3 linked regions of the Caenorhabditis elegans genome follow. The protein of the gene in region 3 interacts with the protein of the main gene of each other region in a pairwise test. Each region holds a gene or a part of one and is shown on either strand. Other genes may lie near its edges.

Region 1 (6,415 bases), 6.4 Mb from region 3:
TTGCGCAAAGTCTGAAAAAGTTGGGTCTCGCCACGAAAAAAAACTATTCGAATTTCCTACTAAAAAAAAAAACAAAAAATACAAATTTCGATTTTCATGGGAAAAACATCGAAAAATTCAAGAATTTGCCGTTTTTTCCGTAAAAAACGAATTTTTTTCCTGAAAAAAGCCACAAAAAATTCCGAAAATCAAGCGGAAAAGCTAAAAATTCTAATTTTCAGCAGGATTTTGATTTAAAAAATTAGAACAATCCAAGAAACCACTAGGTTTTCAACAAAAAATTGGAAATTGAGCAGAATTTTTCAGTTTTTACAGCTTTAAAAAAAAACATCATAAATTCCGAGTTACCGTACCCAAATTTATAGCTTTCCTCGGAAACTGGGATTTAAAAAAAACAGAAAATTGTCAGAAAAAAGGGTTTTTATGGGTTTTTTTTTCAAATTTTATAATAAATTTTAATGTCGAAATTTCCAAATTTTCTACTTTACACCCGAAAACAGCCAAATTTCCGCGCTAAATGAAAATTTGGGCATAGCTTCCGCATCCCCGGTGACAAATGTGCTCTATTGCACCGAATTGTTGGTTGGAATACGGTATTTATTGCATATTTCAGCCGAGAATACCACTATTCAAACCATCAATTCGGATAGAGAAACACACAAGTCACATTTTCATGAAATTTACACCTAATCATACTGGAAATCGGTATTTTTTTTTTCTATTTTGCTTGCAGTTTTGGCAATTTTTTCGGAAAAAATGAGCTGAAAAACGTGTTTTTTCAGAAAATTTTCAGGATTTTTGGCGTTTTCAACCGAAAATATTCAAAATTTTATAGACAAATCTGAAAAATTCCAGAATTTTCATGTATTTTTAATACTTTTCTCTTAGAAAATCAAATTTTTCCGATTTTTGAAGATTTTTAGGCTAGAAATATATTTTTTACACAGATAATATTGGAAATAACCAAGAAATTGGTAGAGCCTCTAAGGGACTCAAAAAAACCCGGTTTATCGGATTTTTTGGCAATTTCGTATAAAATGTCCACTTTCCAGATTTCCCACAAAATGGAAGGTTTTTAAATAATTTTTTTTCAATTTTTCTTGATTTTTTCCGAATTTTAATATAAAAATTCCCGATTTTCAACTTCTCCCGCCGCACCTCAATATAGAAATTCTTCTTGAATTTCCGATAATAGACCTTAGAATGGTCAGTTTGTGCCAACATTCGTCCTTTATGACATAATGATGCTGCAGCCGTCTCAATATCAAAATCATCAATAACCATATCCATATTATCCTCATTTTCCAGCACTTGTCCCTTTTCGGGCTCCGGCTTCTCCTCCTGCACAATTGTCACAATTCCAGACGCTTTTTGCGTGGAGTTTCCGGTTTTTTTGGCGTTTTTAGTGGCAATTTCTTTCATAAAAGCGTCCAGAGGGTCCTCTTCGTCGTCTGTATCCATTTTTTCGACTTTTTCTTCCATTTTCACCGGGTTTTCCTCTGAAATTCCCTCATTTTTGATATCAAATTCGTCTTCATCATCCTCATCCTCCAGATTCCAGGGCTTTTTCTCAGATTTTTCATCAGATTGCTCAGATTGTAGATCAAGCTCTTCCTTCTTCTTTTGGGCTCTCCACTTCTCCACATTACGACGCCTACGCTCGACTCCCTGTAGTAATTCGGCTTCTTTCATTTTCATAACTTCTTCGGTGTCTGCAAATTGATAAAATTAAGGGGTTTTTTTGCAAAAAATTGAGAATTTGGGCTTTTTCACACTTTTATGGGTAAAAGCCGGCTGGAAATTCAATTTTTTGGGTGAAATTTGAGAAAACTCACTAAAATGTTAGGTTTTTTCGTAACAAAAAGTTGAAAATTGGCCTATTTCTTGCGAAAAAAACATAAAATTCACACTTTTCTGGGTGAAAATCGTCTAGAAATTCAGTTTTTTAGGTGGAAATTGAAAAAAAATCGCTTAAATTTTTATGTTTTCTTGGGAAAAAGGTAAGAACTCTATGGATTTTGCATGAAAAGTTCATAAAATTCACATTATTTTTTGCAAAAACCATACAAATCAGTGGAAAATTGGAAAAATCGCTTAAAAATGCATTTTTCTGGGTGAAAATTAGAGTTTTTTTTTCGCAAAAAATTGAGAATTCTATGGATTTTGCATGAAAAATTCGAAAATTTCGCACTTTTCTTGGTGAAAAATCGCCTAAACTTCAATTTTTCAACCAAAAACCTTTAAATTTGAACAATTTTCGGCTCTTTCTGTTGACAAATTTGAATTTCAACGGTATAAGGCGAAAATTGAATCAAAAATTCAATTTTTCTATCCAAAAATTGTCCGAATTTCGCTTTTTTTCTCCGGAAAAATTAGAAATTGCATGAAAATAGCAAAAATAAAAACGGCAAAAATAGCTGAATTTTGATGCTTTTGGCATGAAAATCGGCTAATTTTTGCGATTTTCAGTTTAAAAAGTTTTTTTTTTTTACCTTAAAATCCTATTTTTAGGCTGAATTTCGTTCAAATTTCCCAGTTTTAACTCAAAAATTCGAAAATTGGGATTTTTCCAGGCAAAAATTTGCTTTTTTTGGCTTTTTATCGATTTTTTTTGCCAATTTTTTTTGCAATTCCTTACCATTCCGTGACTCTTCCATTTCAAAAATCGCCGTTTTACTCTCTTTTTCCTTCTTTTTCTCTGCATCTCTCTGCTTTTCACGATCTCTCGTCTTCTCCCGATCAGTGTCTCGTTCTCTGCGTCTCTCCCGATCCCGATCTCTGTCTCGATGTTCCCGGTGCTCACGACTGCCACGTGGCGAGCGGCTCCGGCTTCTTTTTCGTTCCTTTGAACGGGAACGCTTTCGTTTGTGCTCTTTGTGCTCGCCGCGACCCATCGAAAACTGGAAAAAATTGGGGATTTTTGGATTAAAATTGGGAAAAATACGATTAAAGTGTGCGAAAACAATGAAAAATCACTGGAAATTCGTTAAAACCTTCGGATTTTTATAAAAGAACAATTTTAATCATTTTTAATTTCAAAAAGTGTTTTAAAATCCAGAAAATCTGATTTTCTGCCTATTTTCTGGCCGATTTATCGTTTTATGTAAGTAATTTGACTTCAATCTTCACTTTTTCACTTAAAAAACTTCGAAAAAAGCGAAAAATCTATGGAAAATAAAATAAAAACCGAAAAAAAAAAAGAATTTCGAAAATAAAAATTTTCCGCACTACGACACTCCGAAATCCCGCCGCGCGTGTTGTTTAGCGCTTTTAAAAATTGGCGCGAACGCGCAGGTGTTCAAACACTGTCCGTCGATTTTTCTCGCATTCCTCACAATTCTGTCGCTTTATAGCCGGCTTTCGCGCAAATTTTTGTGTAAATTACGTTAAAGTCACTTAAATTCAAGTTTTCCAGTGCGAAAAACTAACAAACTACTTGTTGCAACTCGGAAATTCAAAAAGTTGATTCGCAAATGAGCCAGCGATCATTTGGAAGTGAAATTGGAAATATGACGGCTGCTACGAATTCGAATGATATTGCGGAGTAAGTTTAAACGTGAATTTAAATTTAAAATGTTTTAAATAAAAAAATAAATTTTTTTTTAACTTATTTCTCGATTCTCCAAAATTTTGAGAGTTCTTTTTATTGTTTCTGGTGTAAAATTCAACGTTCTCTTCATTTTTCACATTGAAAACCCGTGAAAATCACTAAAAACCACTGGAAATTCATGAAAATCCAATAAAAACCAATGGGTGTGCAAGCGCGCCCCATTGCGAATATTTGAATTGTTTTTCGTTTTCGACTTTTTTTCTCCGAATTTCGAGCCAAATTTCTCTCTTTTTCCAGCGTTTCGCTCGCCACACCACTAAAATCGACGGAACAAATGGAAAAGTCGGAAAATGGGACAGGTTAGTGCCGAAAAATCGTGAATTTCCACCCGATTTTCACCTAGAAACCCGAAATTCCACAAAATAATGTTTCTTTTTTCAGCCGTCTCCCGCCTCCCAAAGCCACTCGCCATTGAAGTTTACTCGAAAGTTCACAATAGTGAGTGAAAAACCCAGAAATTGTGGATTTTTCATCAAAAATCTCCAAATTTTCGCTAGAAAACTAGATTTTTCGCGGAAAAATCCCCCAATTTTCAGGCAATTTATCAGAAGATGACCTTCTCGACGAAATTGAAGACCTAATTGATGAGAAATTCTTTGCCGGAGAGAAATTAATGAGCTCTGGCAAAGAATATACAGTGGTTTCCAGTGAAAAACGCGGTGGGCTCACACTTTACACAATGGAGGACGGCACCAAAATTGGACATCGCGATTTGAGGTGAAAATTGATGGAATTGCATGGTTTTCGGTGGAAAAATGTGGCGAAAAACCGTTGAATTTCGCTTATAAATCGGAGTTTTAGGCCAAAAATGACTAAAATCGTTAAATTTTCAGATTTTTCATGCAACAAATTTGAAAATTCCGCATTTTTTCTTCATTTTTCACCCAAAAAAAAAACCACTAAAGTTACAGGTTTTCATGAAAAATTGCTTATTTTAACCGAAAAATAACAAAAAATTGATTTTTTAATTCATTTCCCACGATTTTTACTTCAAAATTATCATTTTTAGGTCATTTTTTGAATTGAAAAACGGATTTTTAGATCTTTCCTGAGCAAAAATGGGGTTTTTTTCATTGAAAAATCGAGAATATCCCAATTTTTTAACCGGTAAATACGCTGAAATCGTGTTTTTCAGCCAATTTTAGACCTTTTTAAGTGAAATATAAAGTAAATCCACAAAATAGCTGCAAAAATGCGTAATTTTCAACATTTTTGCATGAAAAATCCAAAAATTTTCATGTTTTTTGATTAAAAACTCATAAAATTCGAGATTTTTGGACGGAAAATGCTTTAAAATATAATAATTTCACATAAAAAATGCTGAAATTTTTCATTTTTGCTATAAAAAATTTGAAAAATGTCAATTTTCAGCCAAAAAAGGGTCTCTCAGTGGGCGAAATTACGAAAAATGGCCATTTTTGCACTAAAAATCCCAGAAAATTCATTAAAATTTCCTCGAAAACCCGAAATTTCCAGTGAAAATTTATGGAAAATTAGTTTTTTCGTTCAAAAATTCGATTTTCCAGACAAAATGTCCACAAAAATTTGATTTTGCGGTGAAAAGTGTAAAAAACTGCAATTTTTTTTTTCAAAAATCCGTTTAAAAAGAGTCTGAAAAAGTTCAAAGATGTAATTTTGGATGAAAATTGTGTGAAATTTCACAATTTGGCGCTTAAATTGTCTCAAAAATAAGTGGAAATTACACTTTTTATGAAGAAAAATCCAAAATTTTAGAGAAAAAACCCTAATTTTCCCTCAATTTTCAGACGAAAAAAGGGTCTATCAGTGGAAGAAATCAAGAAAATCGCCATTGAAGATGCTGAATTTGTGGATGAAAAGCAGTGGAAAGTCCGGGAAGAACTGCTCGCCGAGAATCCGATTCGTGAAATTAAAAAATATGCTCCAATATTCTCAGCAAATCGGAAATCTACGCCGAAAACTGCTCAGCTCAGTGTGGCGGCAGAAGCCGATGATTCAGATGTACAAGAGGTGTCAATGGATGCTGAAAGTGGAGCAGAAGCTGCAAATAAAAGTGCTATGGTACGGGAAAATTTCGATTTTTAGCTGGAAAATTGAGAGAAAAATCTGATTTTTCGGAGAGGAAAAGTAAAGAAAAATCAGGATGTTAGCTGAAAATTGAAAAAAAAAGTAGATTTTCAGCTGAAAAATTGACAGAAACGCTATTTTTGTAGTCAAAGCTCGATTTTTCGTAGTAAAAATACAGAAAAATTAGGATTTTTCCTAAAAAATTGAATAAAACAGTGAAAAAATCGTGATTTTGACAGAGATCAACTAAATTCCGATGATTTTTAGCTTTAAAATTGACAAAATTTGTGAGAAATTAGATTTTTCGACTGAGAAATTGAGAAAAACGCCATTTTTCATAGTAAAAAATGAGGAAAAATGGGATTTTTATTTGTAAATTTCTGAAAAAACGAGAAAAATTGGATACATTTTGTGAAAAATCGAGAAAAAAACCACATTTTACAGTGAAAAATTGACTAAAATCTCGCAAAAATCGCCAAAATTGTGCCAATTTTCACCAAAAACTGTTAGAAAATATAATTTTTTAATGTAAAAATTGACAAAAATCATGCGAAATTTCCAATTTTCTGAGAACTTTCTGTTGAAACTTGTGAAAAAACCGAAAATTTTTGCAGAAAACTCCACGTGGAGCTCCGCGAGCATCTGGAGGCCCTGTGATCCTCTCGAGCCGCCGTTTACAAGAAAAACAGAAGGAAAAAGATGAAAAAGAGAAGGAAAAACTGGAGAAAAAGCAGAAAGAACAGGAAGAGAAGAAGCAGA
Region 2 (6,286 bases), 6.6 Mb from region 3:
GTGCCATGATGTTCCGACGTTCGAGGTGGCAGCAGCACAACAACACACAGCGGAGAAGAAGCATGCGAACAAAAAAAACGTCTGGTTTCTCTGATGCCCTAGCCCTCACCCACCCCACCCCGACTACTGGTACCAGGCGCCTCCTCGCCGCTCTTCAAGACCACCCCGTCGACGACGCTGCGCCAAAACAAACACGGCGACTGGCACGCTTCTTCTCAACTGCGTCTTCTTCTTATCCGCGCGGAACACACACAACACACACACACGGCATATAATAATTGTTTTGGCTCCGGCGTTCGGTGGGCTCCGCGCGGAGCAAAAGGAGCAAAAGAACGCACGTAGGAATTCGTCATTTATGTTTTGGTGACTAGGGACTAGTAGTCTTGAAAGAGTAGGATATTAGTATGAGGAGAGGTGAAAGAATCCAAGGGTCCAAAAAGATTTTTAGCATTTAAGGAGTCTAAACTTTTCCGAACACCTCGTGAAATTTTGCACCTGGCAGCAATTTTTGCACCTGGAGGGGTTCAGTTACTACATGAAAACTTTGAGGTTTTAGAGGGGTATTGTAGGATTACTGTAGTATTAATGTAGGGCTACTGTAGAAATACAAAAAAATTACGGTAGGGCTACTGTAGTATTACTGTAGGGCTACTGTAGAATTACAGAAAAATTACGATAGGGGTACGATCACTGTAACAGTTGATGCACCATGTTTTGCCGATTAACTTTGACAGCTTATATCTCGATTACTTTTACTGATATCAAAAAATGTTTAAAAATAGAACTATAGAGAAAGATATAAGAAATGTTTTGTCTGTTGCCAATTTTTGAACCAAAAACAACCAAGATTTGAACCAATGAAGTTGTGCTTGGCATTTTACTTTGAATGATCATATCTTGGTTTTTTAAAGAGATATCAAAAATTGTTAAACTACATTATTATAGAAAAGGTTATAATAAACATTTTGTCACTAGACAATGTTTTGATAACACCAAACACAACTGAAATACAAGACGTCAAAAAGCTGACGAAGGATTTTCAGTCGATGCACCATGTTTTTTTAAATTTCACAAAGTTTCCTATTTCCCATTCAAAATCACTAACCTTTTATTTTCAAATACTCAAATACGTAACCTTTTACCTTATCACATACCCTGGTCACCCCAACTCGTGGTATCAGGTTACCCCCTCGTAACCCATTCCGCGTGACCGCATGCCTGCCGGCGCGGCGGCAAGCGGCCTGGCACGGAGCTATGGGTGCCTGCCGGTGACATGATGATGCCCGTCCAACCATAGATAATAATAGGTAGACACCACATACAAACATATGTGTGTGTGTGCGTTCTTTTTTTGTTGGAAAAATGAGAGAGAAACTTTGACCACATACAAACATTTATGGCTATATCTAGTTGGATTTCAAAAACCATGTGTTTGACCTACATGTAGTACGGATTAACGGGATTGGTGGAAAATGTGGATAGGACCTTTGAAAACTGGGTTGATAGTGATTTCAGATCATGGTGCATGGACTAGATTTTAGGCAGGCGCGGGGCCTGAAGCCTGCCTGAAACCTGCCTGCTTTTTCCCCTTTTATGCATTTTAGGTGTATTTACACTGATGATTTTCAAATTAAAAAAAAAAGAAAAAAAAAACACGTATGATTTAGCATAAGTATTGAGGCAGGCGGAGATCGCCTGAAGGCCAGGCAGGTAGGCGTTTTATCGCCTACATAGGAGCCCTACACTTCAAAGTTGAGTCATATGAAATCAATGTAGAAAAAATTATGAAAAACAGCTTAACTAAACGTAACCGAAATATGGCCTCGATGCACCATGTTCAGAACTTTTCTTCGACAGACTCTATCTAAGAAGTGTTAATTTAAAAAAAAAAATTCCGATAAAACCAAAACCAGCCAAAATATGTAAGGAATTATGAAGAATGAAACAATTATTAAAAAGTTCCGAGAGGAGGAGTCCCAAGATAAAACAATAGCCTCACTCTCTCTCTCCCATATAACAACAAATGAAAACAACCTCCCAAAAAAAAACCAAACACAGAAGTAGACAATTGAAAGAGTGACGGGATGGTGAGAAACCAGTTCAAATGACCAGGTCATTGTTTCAGAGAAAACTGGTCACTTTTGTCGAGTTTTTTTTTGGGCAAACTATGTTAGGCAAGCCAATATCTCGGCTTTTTATGCTATTTGTAATTTTTTCCACGGGTTAATGTAGAAAAAGAGGTGAGCAATATTTTGTCAGTTGATAATTATTTTATAAACCCAGAGACAATTTAGATATAGAGCTGGTAAAGTTAAGTTTGCAAAACTTATCGATGCACCATGTTTTTATTTTGGTTTATTTTAGCGATATTAGTTACATATCAACTACAAATGTATAGAATAATGAATAAAACATTTATTACCAATAGACAACTTACTGGATAAACAGGGCGCGATTGGTGGGATAGCGGAGCGTCGTTTGAAAGTTTGAAAAATTGCAAGTTCTCTTTTTTTTTTGTGCAAAAAAGCTGGTAATAATGCACAAAAAAGTCATGTAAAATTTCAAATTCCCACCAAAAATTATTGGATAAACAGAGCGCGCTAGGGGATAGCGGAGTGTCGTTAGAAACTAGTAAATTTCAAAACTTGAAGGCTTCTAGTGGTGAAATCGATTTTGTTTTGGTGGTCGGTGGTGCAAAGCTGATAAATTTTAAATTCATAATTTAATCTGTGATTAGAGGGAGTTGGCCCGAAATTTGGAACTTTTTCTTTAAAAAAAAACTTCAAGTTAAATTGGCTAAACATCAAGCACTAGAGGGATAACGGAGTGTCGTTTGAAATTCAATGTTGCACTTGAAAACTGATAAAAAAGGGCCCAAACCCAACCCTAGATGGGTCCAAGCCTAGACAGGTCCCAGAAATTTCTAGAGAGCTCCAGATAGGCCAAACTCACTCACGTTTTTTCGTCTTTTTCTCGAAGAGTCCTCGCGCGCGGCGGAGTGCGGAAGCGGCATGATGCGACGCGACGAGCACTGCGGAAAAATGCCTGCGTCTCTTCGTCTCGCACGCTCTATCGGCTCGTTCCGCGCGCCCCTCCTGGTGTCGACTGGCACGTCGGGGCGCCCCCCCGCTGGCCACTTAGAGACGCAGAGTGTGGGAAAAAGAATGACCAGTGGTTGAAAAAATGACATTCAAAAAAGAAGAAGAAGAAGAAGGAAGGAGCAACAAACCACCAAACAACACAAAATTGATAAGGGTATGGGAAATCGCACAATTTTTGAGAATTCTCTCAAATAGGTCTAGGAGGTCTAAAAACTGAAATTCTGAATTGAGAAATCTATATTTAGGTCAAAAAGGTCTAAGTGTTAGGATCCTGAGCTATATTTCAGCCTAACGGAGTCTAAAATGCCAAAAATCATAGACTGGGTCTTTTTTGCAACCTAATTTTGGCATGTTTATACTTTTTATAGGTAGGGAGCCAAATTACGGACTAAAAGGTGATCGGTCTAGGGACTGGAATTTTGGTCTGAACGTTTGATTTGGGCTGTAAAGGCATTGATATTGGCCAGTCTTGGCCAGGCCATAACTTTTCCCGAAAGGGTTACAAACAGGGTTCTAGAGACTCTAGTTTTGGCCCAAAAAGGAGTTATGAAGCAAAAAGGGCCACAATACCCCAAAAATAACCTAAATGGTCCAAGTGTTGAGTTACGTTTCCTACCTGTTTAGTCTGGCAAAAAAAGCCTAGAAACCCTAATTCTGATCTAGGACCAAAATTTTATCATAAAGAGTATCAAAAAAGGCATAGGGACTTGAATTTCGGTCTGAAAGTTTGATTTGGTCTATGAAAGCCCTAATCTTGCAGGTCATACTTAGGCTGGAAGGCTTACAAACAGGGCTCTAAGTACTTTATTTTTAGCCACGCTAATCCTGATCTAGGACCCTTATTTTATCTCAAAGAGTTTCAAAAAGAGGCCCTTGAATATTGGCCGATCTGGTCTCAATGGGAACTTAAGAACCATGGGTCTTTCGTCTGGCAGAATAGGCTTAATTTGGGCCTAGGACCCGGATTTTATCTCATAGGGTTTCAATAAGTAAGCCCAAGCCTAAGCTTCAGCCTAAGCTCAAGCCTGAGCTCAAACCTCAGCCTAAGCTTAGACCCCAAGTTTGGCCAAAGGATCCTTGAAGAAGGACCAATATTTATTCGAATTTTTACCAAATATAAAGTACCATACTAAAAAACTTTTTTCATATCTTTCTGTATTTGTATGTTCTCTACTTTTTTCTTCTGTCTTCTTTACAAAACCTCCCCCCCCCCCCCCCATCTATCCATGATTCACATGCTGCCACACCTCCCCCACACTATTTCACTCTTTTTTCCTGCTGCTGCTGCTGCTGCAAGCATCGAGAAATACACACACAAATACACGGTGCTGGGTCACCACCTGGAGCCACCCATGGCTCTTTTCATATGTTTTTGCCTGGAAAATGACGACGACGCGGCAGCGGCAGCGGCAGAGACGCGGAGAACAAGCAGGGAGCGGAAGGAGTACGGGACCAGCGGGGCTAAGGGGGGCCTGGGAACCGGGGAGCCAAAAGTGGTCTGGGATCGTGCAAGGAACCAGGGAACCGAGTAAGCAAGGGAAACGGGGGTGCAAAAGCATTGCTTCATTCAGTTCCAAACTTGAGAAATTCAAAAAAAAAACAAAGCCCACGGGCATAGGAATTCTAAGGTGATAAGCACCGAGGCATCAAAAACGCTAGTTCGATTTTCATACACTTGAGCATTAGAAAAATCTTGTGTAGGCCTTCTAAGTCCAAAAGCCCAAAAACCGGTCGAAAAGGTCAGGTTTTTTTCAGAATTATTGAATTTTCTGGGGATTTCTTTTTGCTCTCTTTTTGTCCCCTGCTCAGCCTAAGCCTAAGCCTAAGCCTAAGCCTAATCCTTAGACTAAGCCTAAGCCTGAGCCTAAGCCTAGACCTGAGGCCAACCTTTGGCTCTCTGCAATTCTGACACCTCAAGGTACTTTTCCAGTCGACCAACTAGTACTACTACGACTAATACTAGAAACTTCTGTTGTTGTTGTCGTTCCGCGTCGCACCGCGCTGGCACCGACCGGCACACTGGCTCCGCCTGCCTAGCAGAGACTAGGCTGGCAGAAAAATGAGGAAAAAAACTAGGAGCGGGGGGGGGGGGGGGGGGTAGGGGTTGCTTGGGACCTTGGAGTTGAAAATTCTTGAAGTCAAGGGGTCTTGAGCTTCACGGGCCTACTGGACCTCCTTGGGCTTAGGGCCTACTGGTCTTTGGACTAGAAAACTCAAGGACTTTGAGTAAGAAACAACTGAGCTAGAAGATGAACAACAGGTGTAAGCCAGGGTAATACAGAACCTACATATAGTACAGGGAGTCTACATTTTGGTCTACATACATTCGGGCTAAAAGTTTTTATTTAGTCCAAACGGATCAAGCTTAGACTTTAGCTTCAGATTTGAAAGGTCGAACTGTAGGTATGAGCGATGCAACTTCCTGTTTAGGCGTATCAAGCTGTTTTATTTATCTAGCGAAGAACGGGAGAGCCTGAAGGCATCTAGATTACCAATTACACCCTATCAGAAACAAAACCGACAAAATTTCGAAATTTGGGTAATAAGCTCGGTTTTGATGTCGTAAGCTTTGATCGGGTGGCTGAATGAAAGGCTTTTGAGATTCTTCAAGGGATCTAGGTGGTTATGGAAGGATCTAAAGACACTAGACTTTAAGGCTTAGAGCTTTAAATGGCTTGGCTAGGTCCTATGCACCCTTAACCTATCAGAAACAAAACCGACATATAACATCAAAAAATTATCGCCACATAAAAAAAAATTGCATGCAAACAAAAAAATGTTTTCCTCTTTTTTTTTCTATCTCTTCCCTTTTTCTCGTTTCATCATTCCCCCATACTCTCCCTGAAAGTGGTACCGACAGATACGGAGCCCCCCGTCCTCCCCTGACCAGTCGCCTGGTCAGCTTAACCAGCATGAGACGCAGAGAGTCGCAGCGCCCCGGCGAGAGGAGCGGCGTCACTGAAGAGACTGGTGAGAGAACGGGACGGAATTTTTTTTTTTTCGTTTTTATGTTTTTGCATTTTCCTGCTGTGTTGCTCTCGGTGTTGCGCCCCCCGTGCTTGTCCGTGCCTTCTGGGAAATTGGAGAGCTGGAGAAATAGAGGGCTAGAGATTGAAGTGTTAAAAATAGGCAATTTTTTTTCTGATGAGCAACACTCAGGGCCATCGGTAAAAGGGGAGTAAAGT
Region 3 (8,659 bases):
CTTAATACGGAAAGCAAGACTACCTTTCAATGGGCACTTGTTGAGTAATTACAATCTAAACTATGCTGAAAATTAATCAGTGAGTCCTAACAAAAATCAGGCGCGTCTGAAGTTTTTTTTGACGACAAAAATGCCATTTTCCGGTTGATAAGAGAAGAGCACACAATTTCAGTTATTTCTCACGTAAGTCGAAGTAATAATCGGGGTGCATTGACCATTAATTCGAAGACAGAAGCTACTTCATAAAATGTTTTAATTTATTTTTCAAACAACGAAAAACCAAATAGAAAAATATGAAAAAGAAACAAAGAAAAATCTACAACTAATTTAAAACAATCCTACAAAGAAATTCTTTAAAGAGCCACTGCAACGACTGGAGCAACGTCATCTGTATCTTCTGTCTTCTTTTCGTCCTTCTTCTTCTTTTTGTTCTTTCTCTTTTCAATCTGCAAAAAATGGAATTTTGAACGTTTTCGCACAAATGTCGGCATGGTAACTCGAAACAGAAAAAATAATTTTTCTTGAAGAATTTAAAAATTAATGAGATACTACGAAGAAATAATGAAATTTAAGCGATATTATTAAGCGTCGTCAAAAACCATTTAAAAATTACCTTTTCAATTTCTTCTTCTGTTGGAATTGGAATCCATGGTTTTACATCGATAGCGTAATTTTCTTCTCCTGGAATTGTCATCAAAAGTGCTCGATTGACAAATGAACCAAGTGCAGGATTACGATGAGCACATGCGGCTGCAATTACAGTTGCGATATTGGCTTCAATATGTTCATTTGGCATTGATAACCGTCCAACAACGCAATCACTGAGCCCCCAAATGGGATATACAGGATCTCCTTTGATATTAAGTTTCACTCCGTTCTTGAATTTTTCGATAAGCTCTGGAAGATTTTCTCCGAGACCTCCATTAGCTCTTGTTGGGAATCTCATTTTAAGAATTCCACGTAGTGGAAGAATCGATGATCCCATATCTGAATGAGATACACAGAAATCATAATCGTCCGTCCTGAACTGTCCCTTGATGATTTTTTTGATGGTATCTTGTCCAAGAGCCATTTCAGCTCCAGATTCTACAGCCAGTTCTTGAAGTTTCACATCATTAGCGAATGCTAAAATGGTTCTTTTTTCGTTATGATTGAATGGATGAGGGACTGGGACAATTTCATCACTTCCTGTGACCATTTTCGTCTGCCTCTCAGTTGTCATGTTAAGTTCAAGGCGAAGACGGATTGGAGCATTTGGATTATTGTAGATTGATGGGCTTTGAAGTTCACGATGCATGTCAAGAGCTTCGGAGACTGTGTAGTATTGCGTTTTGAAGTGAGATCTGAAACATTTTAGAATAAAAAATAGAAATCACAAAACAGGTCTGATACTTTATGAAAACATCCAATGTTGGCTTTTCAGGGAGATTAGCTTCATCGTCAATGTTGAGTCTGCCTGGAAATTGTTGAGATGGTGATAGAAGATTTTTCATTCGCCGAATATTGATTTTTTCCATGAATGAGTATTGTTTTCTGGCTGCCTCTTTTTCTTCCCTTTTCATTCGTCTTTCTAGTTTTTGTTGGCGAGTGATTGTCTGCTTCAACGCTCTTTTACGCCCTTAAAATAAGTTTTTTTTAAAACTACATTTATTTTAAAAAAAAACGAACCTCTAATCTGAATAACATCCGCTGACGCTGGTCGTAGAATGTTACTCCCAGTAGAAGATACCGTCTGTCGAACAAACGATAACATCCTGAAAAGAACAAATGAAAAGTTTAAATAACAAGGAAGCACATTTATAAGGTTATTTTAAAGTTATTTTATCTGTTAAAACAGTGACGAACTATAAATAGGTAGATTAAAGCTGGATTGATTTATTAAATTGTATAAAATGTTGAAAAGAATAGATACATCTATTTTAGAAATAAATAAAAGGGAATGTAGACTTTCGCGAATAAAATGGATCTCAGTATACATGAACCATTCCGTAGAAGAATACCCAGAGCAGAACGAAAGTGAGAAGACCATTTCCGTGCGACCAAGTGAATGAGTTTCTTTCCGGAAAGTAGCTCAACCAGTTTCCTTGTGATTTCACGTTCCATATAACGGCCTGGATTCCAACAGAAATGAAATAGAGAATGAAGCCTTGAAAACCGGTAAGTCCGAGAATTCCTGTAAAAGAAGGATTTTTTAAATGATTTTTTTTGAAAATTACCTGCTGCCATACCGGCGGCGCACGACTGACACGTTCTTCCAAACTCGAGAGCTTCGACGTTGTTGGTTATCGCTGCCGTGCTGAAGAAATATATACATGATTATTGAATTCATGATTTTTACTTCGACTCACTTGTAACACTCATCGTTCTTCTTTTCTGCTTTTGACGATTTATCGGACATTTGAAAATCTGAAATTACAAATAACACTAATAATCAAAAAAGAACATGTTCTAGAACAACATAAAATTATTTAAAATTGAATAAAACTGGATTGCAAAGGGAATTTAAGAATTAAATAGAATAAATTAATAAATTTGTCTCTGAGAAATCTGTGCATTCTGACGTGACAGTGTATCAGTCCTGGGGAGCGCACTTGCAATATTCTTTTTTTAGCTAATTTTTTTTCTTTAAAAATATTGCATTTGCCTCGCTTTTATACTGAATCGCTTTTATAAATATATTTTTCTGCTTAAAATATTATTTTTATAAATTTCAGACATGCTTCGAAGTATACAACATGTCGAAGCCCTCAGCAGTCGTCAAATTTCGACAACATCGATGCTTCTCAAGAACAGAGCGGGTAAAACCAAGGTTTGTTGATCTTTCAATTATTTTCCCATTTATATTTTGCAATTTCCGTCTACATCAAATAGAACACAACTTCTTACATACGAAATGGCTCAAAAACCACATCATATTGGCGTGCGAAAATCGTGGCTCACATGGCATTCACAGAATCTCGAAGGTTTGTTCCAAAACTGAATTACGATTTAACAATTTTTAAAATTTGTTTTTAGAATTCCGTCAATCTCAACCACTGGTTGTTGCACAAGATGAAGTTGTTCGTCGGTTCATTCGAGGATTTTTCCCACAAAATTTAGTCGTTAGTGGAAATGAGGTAATAACTTATCAAAAAAATTTTAAAATTCAGTATAGTATCTATTTCTCTTATCCAAGTTTGCAAAACTTCACATTTTTCCAGATTGTAATCAAACGACGAGGAAACGTACTGATCGTTGCCGGATTCCTTCAATATTCGCGTCGACTCGATATTCGAAGAATCTACTGGATGTTCGGGTTTGCAGAAGAATTTCTTTCCATTCTTCTGAAACAACCAGTGAAGCTAGAAATGGCATTTGTGGAATCCGAAGAAGATGTAGCATACAACTATATCTAAAACTTTCATCTTTGTTATAGAACCGAAATACCGTAGTTTTATTTTACTTCTTTAATTGTTTCTGTTGTGTTCCAAAAAACAAAATAAATCTGAATTTTGGCATTTGGATTCTGGATTTTGGTCCCTGAAAAATATACGAGAGTCAACGATAAGACTTCATAAAATTATCAATCAGCGCATTGGTTTGACAAAAATCAATAAATATTTGTGCTCACTTCGCACACTGATAAGCAAACCCCATAGTCTTTCATACAAACTATTGCGCCCTTTCAATCGTCCTTTTTAACTATACGTGAATCACAGTTAACTATGCGTCGCTCATATAATCACTGATTATTATTCGTATCTTATTCCACTTGTGGTGTGACTTATCTGCAAAACCTAACAACATTTTAATCACTAAAACAAAAATTTCGTCATTCCATGCCTTCGTCTTCTCCATCGATGGACGAGTCTCGAAGGTCTGCTGTTCCACCAAAAGAGCCTGCTGGCAGAATTTGCACAGTTAGTTTTGATATTATTTAGAATATAATCACTTTATTGAAGAGCCTCTTGACGCTGGTTTAAAAGTTGAAAAAACCATCAGAAAGTTGTAATTTTATTTTGGAAACGGCGTGAGATTTTTCGATTTTTGCTTAAAAAATACGGTATCCGGTCTCGCCAAGACAAGTCTTTAAGGAGTACTGTAATTTCAAACTTTAGAAGAACATGCATATTTAACGTGAAAAACTAAAATAAAACACATAAATGTTTTTAAAAAAGTATTAATAGCTATGAATTATCAATGAAAATTCCACAGCTTGAAATTACAGTAATCTTCAAATGCACACAGCTTTTTGTACTGAACAAAGATTGTCGTGCCGAGACCTGGTACCGTATTTTTGACCTAAAAATCAAAAAGAAAATTCCGTTTGGATACATATCGTCTTTTCCAAAACGTAAGATGAGTTCCATAGTGGATTACTACAAATCTGGTGGTATTTTTGTAAAAATATAATAGAAAAACGTTTTTTCATTTATACTTCTAAACCAACAATTGTAATTAATTTTAGGTTTGCTCCGACCGTGCAAATGGATACAATTTTGGTGTACTCACTTGCGAATCTTGTAAGGCGTTTTTCAGGCGAAATGCTTCAAAGCATAAGGTTTTAAAAAAAAAAGCATACTCAAGTTGTTAAAAATTTTGTGTTAAGGAAATTAAATGTCCTTTCTCTGATTCTTGTCAAATCACATCAGCATCTCGCAAGTTTTGCCAAGCTTGTCGATTGAATAAATGTTTTGCTGTTGGAATGAACAGTGAATGGTTAAATGATTTGAAACCGAAGAGTTCAATTGTTTCTGGAAAATTCAAAAGAAAGAAGCCTGATATGAAGAATAACTTGAAAGTGGAAGTAGATGATACTGAAGAAGATTTGGAAAATGATGATGAAGAACAAATTAGTGTCCCCAAAGCATTACTTGAAAAGCTTATCAATAAAGCTAATGAGTAAGTTTCAATGAAATTATCCGGAAATAATAAACTACTGTTTCAACAAATTTACTATAATATAACGGGAAAATAACAAAAAAACGCCTTTACCCCAGAATGCAAAAACAGTAGCCGCGCACGTATGTAGGCATGAAGAAGTGCCTACCATGGCAGCCTTAGCACGTTCTCACATTTATTCAATTGAATCTATTTAATTAAAGTGGTCTCTCGATAACCTGTGATATGTACCGTATGAGAAAGTACAATTATCTAATCAGTAGATCACACAAGACCACAAAACTACGTCACTCTAGTAACAGACAATCGTACATTGAACTTTCAGAAAATCAAAAGACAGATGTACATGCAAATGCCAGTGTGGATTCTATCCAATTACTCAAAGACTCACCGCATACGAACCAAAGGATACAACAGCTGTGGTTAGTAGAGTTTAAAATACAAGAAAATCAATTATTTTATATTCAGAACAGTCCACAAGATATATCATTCTCCCATCATCTTCATCATTCGGATTCGTTTTATTCTTCATCTACTTCAACTCTTTCTCCAATGTCGGTTATCAGTTGTGCTCCATCTTCACATGATTCCAGTGGTTACAATACTTCTCAACTTGTTACTCAATCTCCAACCAACTACACAGTTTCTCCGGCGTCTATACCGAGCTCAATAACTGGTATGTTTTTAGGAGCAGCTCGTGAAGCTGAACGCTAGAACCTCACTGTCAAAAATGTTTGACAACAAGCCAGACATAACTCATCTAGAAGGCTATCACTACGAATTCAAAGTAGGCAGAAGAGTTACGTCCGCCTTCCGAGCCGACAAGAAAACACTTTTATTAATACGTACTGAAGTAAAGAATATACGTCTAAAATTTAGAACTGTCTCCACAAATGCCATCGCAATATCCTCCAATGTTATCACCATTTCAATTTGGTGTTATGGCCCAAATGGCTGCGCCAGCCAACTTTTTGAATTTTCCTCCAATGCCTGAAAGAACATGGACTCCAATTCAAGCAGTGTCCACAGTTCCAGTAACTGAAACTCTACCTCCAAATTTGCTAGAACAAATTCATTCAAGTACTGTTTCATGTCATCCATAAGTTTGAATTTTGCAACTTTTCAGAGATTGACAAATACATTGGAGTTTTGAATGAAGACGAGATAACTCTTTTAGAAGAACTTCATGTACAAAATGAGCCATTAAATGCTCCACTAATTCAATGGCACAATCCGAAAAGCATTGATGGAGTTTTTAGAATAATAGAAGAAGCTCTACGAAGGATTGTTAACATGGCATGCCAATTAAGTCTATTCCGAGAGCTTCACGTGGACGATAGGAAAAATCTCTTGAAAAGTGGATTTGGGGAGTTGTTGATTGTGCGGGGTCTTATGGCCTATGACAAGAGTGATAACAGCTGGAATCATTCATTTGGAGTACGAGGAAAAATGGAGGTAAAGGTGGAAGTTCTTAAGAATCCAAAACTTGAAGAACATTACAAAGCACACATGAACTTGCTTTCAACGTTTGGAGAAGATGTGAGGAATAATGAACATTTGATGCTCATTTTCAATGCAGCTGTTATATTTCATCCTCGTGAGCCAGTTTTTCAAAATTGATTCGTTTTAAAGTTATTAATTCAGATGTCTCCAACTTACGTGATAGTAAACGAGTGCACTCAACACAAGCAAAATATTTCCAGATGCTCTTGAAGTAAGTACTGTACGAGAAAAGCACGTATTGTATAACTTTTTGATTATAACATTTTTAATATTGTCCTACTTTCAGACTTCTTACATTTGAATATGGTAAATCACGTGCTGACATTGCATACAGTAATCTTCTGAATCAAGTCGTCGAGCTTCATCGTGTGAATAGGACCTTACTTCGTGTGTTTTATGGACTAGATATTGCTCAATTGGATCCTCTGATACGAGAATTATGTTCTTTTGAATAACCATTTATTAACCATGAATTATTGCACATATTGCACACTTATTAACATGAGAAAGTTTTTGAGAAAATTGCACAAAAGTCAAGGGCAGAAAGATGGAGAAAATATTACAAACAAATACACGTAGATCTGGATCGAAATCAAAATAAAAATTAATATAAAGGTATTAATTAATTACTCCTCTTTCAACCACTTTTGGCACTTGGCAACATAAGCATGAGAACGAGCACATGTTAGTGCTGGATAATAGTTCTCAATAAAGTAACAGTGCTCTTTTGCGAACTCTTCAACGGTATCAAACAAGAATTGACGTGCGAAGCTACGAAGGTTCAAGCATTGATGCTTTGTCACAACAGCTCTCTTTTTGTTTTTCTTGACACGTTGAGCACGTGTAACTGGAGCTTCAGTGGTGGTGGTGGTTGTTACATCTTCTTCTTCATCTTCAACTAACTCTTCTGCTTCAATAACATCATCTTCCTCTTCCTGTTCCACGGCAGCTGTCACAACTTCTTCCTCTTCTTCTTCTGGTGTAGTTGTTGGAGCTTCAGTAGTAGTTGTTGTGGTTGTAGTCTTCATTTTTGAGAGACGAATTCTCTTCATAACTCTCTTTCTAACCTCCTTATTCAAAAGTTCTTCTTCCTGCTCTTTTGTCAACATCTGAACCTTGCTGCTTCTCTGTTCGATAGCATCATTCATTGGAGTATCATTTTGAACTTCTTGTTGGGTTGTTTCCTGTCTTTTTGGGCTCTCTTGAACCTCATCAACTCCATCGAATTGCTCAGCAAACTCTTCGGATGGTGGGGAAACACTTGGAGCCACTTGGGTCTTCCATTGCTCGTCATAAAGATCTGGGAACTTGCGGATCTCTTTCTTTTCTTTCTTTGATGTTTTGTGACTCTTTCTCATCTTTCTCTTCTTCTTTGGTGGTTCAGTCGTTGCTTCTTCTTCCTCCTCAACTGGTTTCTCTTCAACCTTTTCATTCTGAAATGATAAAAATGAGGATTTTTAAACTAAAAAGATATTCCCAAATGAGTTATTAGTTGAATTTGCAGCTAACGTGCTGACAGCAATTGAGTGCAAATTAAAAAGGCCCCCAAAATTAACTTATCCGAAGGCATCTAAAAGTGCATAAAACAAAAAGTTACTTCTTCAACTTTGACGACACGTGGTTTGCGAATCTTTCTTTTACGATTGATGCTGTACACACGAATGCTTCCCTGAGACAAGTGTTAGATTAGCAAATGTGATTGATTAGAATGAACAGAGTATACCAAGAAGAGAGAGAGAATAAATAAGACTTACCTCTTTTTGAAGAATATTGACTGGTTCCTGTTCCTCCTGTGCTTGAATATCGATTGGATCACTCATCTGAACAGTTTTTGCTCCAAATTGACGAGAATGCATGTCTTTTCCCTTTTTTTCAAGATAATGAATCTTTCGTCTTGGAAGGGACTTGCGTTTTGGTTTAATTGTCTCTTGCTCAACTTCTTCAATTGTCGTGACTTCTGGTTCTTCGGTAGTGGTTGGAGTGGTAGTGGTTGTTGGATCAGTGAACAAGTTGATCTGAAAATAATGGAATTGAAACTATACTTTGTAGTTTTTGTGTGGGTTTTTTTTTCAAATTTTTACTTTCATTTTTCAGTTTCTTGGATGCATTTATGGAGCCACTTCAGCACTTCTACAAAATAAGACAGTGGGACTTGTTCCCCGATATTTGTCAATAAATTTAATGATAAAGTATAGACAATTATTTACTTTATTGAAAAATAACTACCATTTTATTTGAATAAATTGGAAAAATAATCAAAAATCGTATGAGTTCA

The links. Proteins that work in one complex are often made in the same cells at the same time.
Region 1: the proteins of nhr-8 (region 3) and F53H1.4 interact in a two-hybrid assay, tested with the Caenorhabditis elegans proteins (one large-scale study listed by BioGRID).
Region 2: the proteins of nhr-8 (region 3) and znf-782 interact in a two-hybrid assay, tested with the Caenorhabditis elegans proteins (one large-scale study listed by BioGRID).

Annotation. Positions count from the first base shown.
Region 1 is NC_003282.8:1,306,751-1,313,165, forward strand, and holds the start of F53H1.4 (PHD-type domain-containing protein), read left to right. Parts: upstream 1-3,415; 5' UTR 3,416-3,473; coding exon 3,474-3,544; intron 3,545-3,847; coding exon 3,848-3,909; intron 3,910-3,991; coding exon 3,992-4,048; intron 4,049-4,146; coding exon 4,147-4,327; intron 4,328-5,376; coding exon 5,377-5,650; intron 5,651-6,270; coding exon 6,271-6,415. Other genes in the region: ddx-46 (RNA helicase), read right to left, coding at 1,159-1,712, 2,639-2,894.
Region 2 is NC_003282.8:1,064,526-1,070,811, forward strand, and holds the start of znf-782 (C2H2-type domain-containing protein), read right to left. Parts: upstream 3,001-6,286; 5' UTR 2,957-3,000; intron 1-2,956.
Region 3 is NC_003282.8:7,707,331-7,715,989, forward strand, and holds nhr-8 (Nuclear hormone receptor family member nhr-8), read left to right. Parts: upstream 1-3,813; 5' UTR 3,814-3,818; coding exon 3,819-3,899; intron 3,900-4,447; coding exon 4,448-4,540; intron 4,541-4,588; coding exon 4,589-4,881; intron 4,882-5,206; coding exon 5,207-5,303; intron 5,304-5,349; coding exon 5,350-5,557; intron 5,558-5,760; coding exon 5,761-5,961; intron 5,962-6,007; coding exon 6,008-6,478; intron 6,479-6,525; coding exon 6,526-6,595; intron 6,596-6,670; coding exon 6,671-6,839; 3' UTR 6,840-6,868; downstream 6,869-8,659. Other genes in the region: mrpl-1 (39S ribosomal protein L1, mitochondrial), read right to left, coding at 354-446, 614-1,343, 1,393-1,618, 1,669-1,753; emc-6 (ER membrane protein complex subunit 6), read right to left, coding at 1,968-2,173, 2,217-2,296, 2,349-2,398; mrps-24 (Small ribosomal subunit protein uS3m), read left to right, coding at 2,717-2,809, 2,858-2,963, 3,016-3,116, 3,201-3,395; F33D4.6 (aECM cysteine-cradle domain-containing protein), read right to left, coding at 7,011-7,817, 7,982-8,053, 8,139-8,399. UniProt on the Caenorhabditis elegans protein: Orphan nuclear receptor.